Linked DNA regions of Saccharomyces cerevisiae S288C. The protein of the gene in region 1 purifies or fractionates together with the protein of each later gene. This does not show direct contact. Each region holds a gene or a part of one and is shown on either strand. Other genes may lie near its edges.

What was found.
Region 2: the proteins of DSC2 (region 1) and UBX3 purify together in Saccharomyces cerevisiae (affinity purification with western blotting; 5 studies listed by BioGRID, with this or other methods). This does not show direct contact.

The regions. Positions count from the first base shown.
Region 1 is NC_001147.6:193,188-196,698, forward strand, and holds DSC2 (Dsc2p), read right to left. Parts: upstream 1,614-3,511; coding exon 645-1,613; downstream 1-644. Other genes in the region: YOL075C (uncharacterized protein), read right to left, coding at 1-355; THP1 (Thp1p), read left to right, coding at 1,783-3,150; succinate dehydrogenase assembly factor SDH5, read left to right, coding at 3,320-3,511.
Region 2 is NC_001136.10:292,918-296,517, forward strand, and holds UBX3 (clathrin-mediated endocytosis regulator UBX3), read right to left. Parts: upstream 1,843-3,600; coding exon 475-1,842; downstream 1-474. Other genes in the region: RNA-binding signal recognition particle subunit SRP14, read left to right, coding at 1-304; RAM1 (protein farnesyltransferase), read right to left, coding at 2,117-3,412.

The DNA.
Region 1 (3,511 bases):
TCTGGATGGGATGGTCTTGGCCATCCAAGTGAGCCCTCTTAGGCTCTGTTTCATTGGGTTCTGAACCTGTATCTTCCAATACGTACCGTATAGAACCATTATGAGTTAACCCACCACTGATCTTGGATGCCAGAACATTCAGCAACGTAGTCTTCCCTGACCCCGAACCACCCATAACTGCCATGACCGACCCACTGGGCAGGTCCATGGAAAACGTATTAACTAGCGTCGTATTTGTTTTGGATGCAACGATTGACAAATCCCTTACATGAAGGCTTATTCTAGGGATTCTTGAGAAGGAAAGTCTATTTTCGATTAATTCAGTGGCCACATCACCATTCTCCTGCTGTGACATAGTGGCTGCAAGTGGATGTTTGGCGTTGGTGATTGTAGCTTAAAATACGATGATCGTTTGAAAACTGCCAAGCACTTGTGCCTACTTCTGCATTTACATCACAAATTCGTTTATCTCATCACTAGATCCTTCCTTTTTTTTTTTTCACTTTCTGATATTTCGTATAAGTGTCAACCCAACAATACTAAAGCCAGACATATGATAGAAGTAACTGCCTCACATGGCTGTAAACGATGTTGCTAAACCGTTGCTATGTTTATTTGTTTATGTAGGTATATGCTGATATAAATCATCTCCTAAAGGTATCCAAAAATTGGACTCCCAGTGGTCTTGCAGGTTCATCGGCACCAGGCTCGTCATCACCAGCGCTAGAGGTATTTGTAGGGGTGGTGCTTGAACCACGAAGCGGTAGGCTTGTAGGCCCAGAGTTGCCTGTATTTCCATTTCCTGTAGCAGCAGTAGCTGCTTCTACAGTGGCTCTTGCTGCTGCTGTATTCGTGGCCGCATTGGCCGCTATAGCAACGTTAGCCCTCGTGGGTGGGCCTTGAGAGATGAAATAGGATACAAACGGTATTCTCCAATGGTCTAATCCCGGTAACAGGCCCTTATCGATGAAAATACCACACATCCAGCTTATGAATCCGCATAGTATTCCTGCAAACCCCTGATTTAATATAAGCAGGAGAATTAACCCATTTAAAAGAAACTGATCGTTGATTTTCCACTCTACGGCGCTCTTGTCTTCTCGCTTGTTATCATTGTGACTTGATGCTCCTCCTCGAGGTCCTAGTAATCTTATATTCCATTCGTAAATCTGAGGGGTGTATTCTTTGTAAAAATGTACTAAGCTTAAAACAATGGGCAGTGAACCTGTACTAAAATTGTTCCATTGAAGCCACTTGTACTGTCCAATAAATGCGTTCCAGATCAGATTCAATCCCCAAATTCCTAAGGTGGTGTAGGCCCATGACAAAACAATCAAGGTCAAGTACTTGTGGGATCCTAGTAGCCGTTCTAAATGCCTAAACAGATACCATATCAACGCCAGTATTACTGTATCGGATTCATTGATGGCGCAGAACTGGAATATGAGCAGACGGTAGTATTGATGGTAGGTCTGCAGAAAAGGATCATATTGCAATAGAAATATATGTTTGTAACTTGCAATCGAGGCAACTAAGGGAACCACAAGCGTCGTGATCATGGCTAGCTTGGTGACGGGCATAGCCGTAAGCCCCACAGGAGGCTCCATAGACATTATTTGTAGACTATTGTGTTTGCTTTTTATGTCGTTGACTTTCTCTCCCTTTAATAGTTAAGTTTATACGTCAAATTTCTCTTCTATACTTTTCCAAAAAAAAAAAACCATCTTCACATCAATGGCATTCAAAGTAAGAAACAGGGCAGGGATAAAAGGATAGATAGCAATGGACATGGCCAACCAGTTGCTAGATGAATTAGCACATGGAAATTTTTCCCACCTAACGCTAAACTTGTCCCAAAATGGTAGGGAAATTGCTATCTTACAGAAGCAATTGACCGGATTTGATGATAAACAGCTAGAAACGTTTGTAGAACAACACCCGGCTATGCCCAATGATACGAGATTCAAAATCATGTGTACATCCTTTTTAAATTATGCCCGAGATGTCGACCCATGGTCAGCCTGGTCCAGTTCGGATCTAATTTTTGAGTTTTATCAATGTTTAATCAACTGTCTCATCAACGACAATGCTCCTCACATAGAAATGTTGATACCAGTAGCAACTAGAGAAACAGAATTTATCATCAATCTCGCTGGGAAACTAGACTCTTTCCACTTGCAACTGCATACGAGAAGTCACCAATTTCTATCACATATATCGTCCATCCTATCAAGACTATTTAACAGCATCAAACCTCCACGAGGTAACGCATCTTCTACAAATATACCTGGAAAACAACGAATACTGCTCTACCTGGTCAATAAACTAAATAACATCTACTTCAGGATCGAGTCACCGCAATTATGTTCCAATATCTTTAAGAACTTTCAGCCAAAAAGCATGCTTGCACATTTCAACGAATACCAGCTCGACCAGCAAATAGAATACAGATATCTATTAGGAAGGTACTACTTGTTGAACTCTCAAGTACATAATGCCTTCGTTCAATTCAATGAAGCTTTCCAGTCCTTATTGAACTTGCCGTTAACGAACCAAGCGATCACTAGGAATGGCACCAGAATACTAAATTACATGATCCCTACAGGGCTGATACTGGGAAAGATGGTCAAATGGGGACCGTTGCGACCGTTCCTTTCCCAAGAAACAATTGATAATTGGAGTGTTCTCTACAAACACGTACGTTATGGGAATATTCAAGGCGTGAGTCTCTGGCTGAGACAAAACGAGCGTCATTTGTGTGCAAGACAGTTACTGATCGTGCTCCTAGAGAAACTGCCCATGGTAACGTACAGAAATCTGATTAAAACGGTAATAAAGTCCTGGACCACCGAATGGGGTCAGAACAAATTACCGTACTCCTTGATAGAACGGGTACTACAGCTATCTATTGGTCCGACATTCGAGGATCCCGGCGCCCAGGAAATTACCATTTATAATGGCATTCACTCCCCCAAGAACGTCGAAAACGTACTTGTGACACTGATTAACTTGGGACTTTTACGCGCAAACTGTTTCCCACAGTTACAACTGTGTGTAGTGAAAAAGACTACAATGATACAAGAGATTGTTCCGCCGGTTAATGAACGAATCACCAAGATGTTTCCTGCCCATTCTCACGTTCTTTGGTGATATGTAGATATATATAGGAAATAGAAGAGAAGGAGCGACATTATGCTGTTTCTTACAGATTTCATAAGAGACTAGATTTTAAGTATATTTAGGATATATAAGAAAGGCGAAATTTGTAAAAAAAGAACAGGAGGAAAAAAGGGAGTACACTTTAAAAAGGAGCACATAAATGCACAATATGTTTCCAGCACTCACAAAGACACTGTCGTTGCAAGGCTACAAGATTATCAACTCTCAAACAGGGTCCGCTGCATGGTCGTGCGGTCGTAGGTGGTTTAGTAGTGATAAAGATGACCACGACGATGTGGTGACGAGGATTAAAATTGCCCCCATAAAGAGAACTAACGAGCCATTGGATAAG
Region 2 (3,600 bases), on another chromosome or scaffold:
TCTTGAATTTGATTCTACCAACCATCCTGACTATGATGTATCTAAAAAGGCTTCTGAAATTTCAGTTAGCTCAAGATCTGACAGAGAATACCCACTATTAATCAGAATGTCTTATGGCTCGCATGACAAGAAAACAAAATGCTCAACAGTGGTAAAAGCAAGTGAGTTAGATCAATTTTGGCAAGAGTATTCATCTGTATTTAAGGGGGGCATGCAGAATTTGATCAAGAAGAAGAAAAAGAAGAGTAAGAACGGTACCATCAGTAAGACAGGAAAGAAAAACAAGGTAGCGAAGAAAAACTGATGCACGTGACACTTGAGTCAAAAGGCATGTGCGCCTCTTGTTATCTTTGGATGTGTAGATTAAAGGATGGCAACGTAGATATAAAAGATTAATTGCATAAAGTTGTGTAGATATAAATTTAACTAAACTTTAGAATAAACGTTTTGAGATGACTATTTTTGAAATTCCTTTCATTCGTCCAGGCGTTCCATTACAATATTTCCTGATGGATATATGCCGCTAACGTCAGATATTTTGGTAGATAAATCAAGCTCTCTTCTTGGTACCGGCGTGATCAATTTGAAGCTATACTGGTGCTGATAATTAGCAGGTTGGTATACGGGTAAAGTATCGTTTTCTGAGTTCAACATGTCATGCAACTGTAATTCTACGAAGGCATATATCTCCTCCGTTGGTAGAGATGCGTCAAACTTTCTCACTAATCTCTGCCCATTTTCTAGTCTGATCGCAACTTTGCTTGCATCTTTATCAGAAGAGGGTTCGGGTTTTAGTTGGCTTTTTCTCCACAATAGCCATTGGTTTTCTATTCTTTGGTGCTCTCTTTCCATTTGTTCTCTTTGGGTCTGTTCCAATCTTTCTGATTCTCTTTGTTGATCACGTCTTAAGGAATCCTGGTATCTTGAATCCTGTTGTTGTCTTATTAATCTCTGCATTTCAATATTTTGTCTTTGCTGACGCAATTGAATTAATCGAGAATAATTCTTGGAGAATATGGCCTCCAAATCTTGGGCTTTGTAGTTAGAAATAGAACCTTCAACTCTTGCTATTAACTCTATTTTTTTCTCAGCCTTTAAAGAAATTATTCCAAGTAGGGGATATTGCCTAATTTTTAATGCATTGGAAACTTGCAACCCCTCGGATGTAGTAACGTCACCATACCATAGTAATACCTGGTACTTCCTTATCATGTTAACAAAGGCTTCTGAGCACAATATTTTATTAACGTAATCCATATGATTATCCAACAATGGGTCATGTAAATAAATGACTCCAAATTTCACTTGTTCGCTACAAGCATCCAATAATTCAGTGTAACTATTTTGCATAATGCTTTTGGAAAATGTTCCATTTTCAGGGTTGTATAAAGAACCAAAACTAAACTGGACCCCACTGCTCTCATTGTTGCTCGTACTGTCAGTATTGCTGCCATCATCATTATTCCCGTTACCTTCAGAACACGTTACAGCTTGAGCTTCGTTTTCTAGATTTTCTAAAAGACGGTGTAATTGGGAACTGTGGTCTAGTAAACGGTTGTGCTTCCTCTGGTAGAATCCGTGAAGTCTTAATAGAGGTTTTAAAAGACGTGAACTTCGGACAATGAAATTCAATAAATAATAAAGAACTATTAGGGGAGCTTGAAATAAAAAATGGAGTATTGATTTTAAGCGTCCATCCCGGCTCTGTGTGGGTTCATTTGTATTGCTGTTTTGATCTTCTGTCCTTCCATTCAAATCAGCAGGTGGTTCTTCTCTAAAAGCACCTGGGATTCGAATAAAGGAATCATCATTATTTCCAAAAGTATGCCTAAATATATCCATGTTTAAAGGGTATGTTTAAATCGCAGTCAAGCCGATTGATGAGGTACAACAAAATTTGGGAGTACGATTGCCCGCTGTTTTTGAACTTACTCTCACTTTTTGCTTCGTATGTAATTAAGCAAGGATGTGTTACAATAAGATTTCGCTTTGTTATTATCGTTTTAAAAGCGGTCGCCGAAGTGTCGAATAAAGGACAATGATAACGTAAAGAGAAAGAAATTGGAAAGAGACTGACCGCTAAGGAGATTGAATACATATATATAATAGTATGTGGTTAACTTGGAGAAGATAAATTGGATTTAAAGTAGTGGATAATTTTTCTTACATTTTCTATTGGTAAACCATAGACAGGGTTGACATCAGTAAGTTTCGATGATCCAATTAGGCGGTCTGGAGTACACTTAATATTATGTGGAGAATCATTAGGAGTGCAACTGTATGAACTTTCCGCAACAGCCAGTCCTAATAGGCAATAATTTGTATGGTAAAAGTCTGAGTGGGCCCCTGGTTTATCTCTCAAACCAGGTTGCTCTTTTTCTTGGCAACAGTACAATATGTAGTCCCGAAGAGCATGTTTGTTGAAGCATTGGCCATATCCAAAAGCTTCAAGAATGGCAGCCGAACCTCCAACCCAAAAACTATAGCAACCGTCAACAAGTTTGTTGCTCCTTCCGCAAAATCCTCGTTCTTCTTGCAATTGACGAGCACTAGACCATTCTAAAAGCTTTTCAACATTTATTTGGTCCATGGACCTTAAAATTGCTAGACTAGCTGTAGCACAGAAAGTATAGCCTCCGTGTGCCTCATCTACGTGAGGACAACTGCCGAATCCACCTTCATAATTTTGACAATTTTTCAAATAGTTTAACACACCTTCTGTAAGCTCTTCTGTAAGAATATTTAATAAGGTTGCTATGCTCAAGGCACAGTATATACCTCTTGTATCCACTTCTCCGACTTCTAAACAGGTCTTGAATCCTCCATTAGGCTCTTTCAACGATATCAGCCATTGGTAAATTCCTTTTCGATCAATTCTGTCCCAGCATCCATCTATGTTATCGCAAAGGGAGAGAGCATTAATTGCAGCATAAGTGCTGGCCAAATGAGATAATTGGCCAGGACCTCCACCAAAGGGTCCTCCTGAAGGACTAATAGTAAAGAGCTTATCTACAATTTTTCTTTTGGTGTCATCTGAAAGCCAGTCTCTGTCCATTACCTTCAATGAGTTAGCAATCCAATATAGCATCCACGGTTGTGAAGCATCTAGTGCTGTCATTTGTGGAGGTAACGATATCTCAAAAGCGACATCCAAGTACATTTTGTGAAACTCTTTCGTGAGAGCAGGTTCTATATTCTTTTCATCATCGTATATCTCTAATACACTTTGTAGTACTTTGTATCGTGCTTCTGTAGTGTCGGTTTCTAGTTCCTTCATCAATGGTTGGATTGCTTTACTTGAATCTACATGCGCTATATCGACGACTCTTTCCATAACTGGTCTCTTTCTTCCTAATAAGGCAGTATTTATAAATTTAGCCCTAGCTATGGACCTTCCTACTCTCTGTCGCATACGCTTTGATTGCCTATAGCTTTACAAGCACTGCAGTTGTTTCTGCATAAGAACGGCGATGATATGGACCCTTGCTTGGTTTATCCTAGCCACTTTCGCGTGTTTCAGTTTCAAGCTTTCCTAATCAGGCAACAGCTTATACGAAAAGATTAATAAGTTACAATGTTAAACAGTTTCGCTTCAAGACC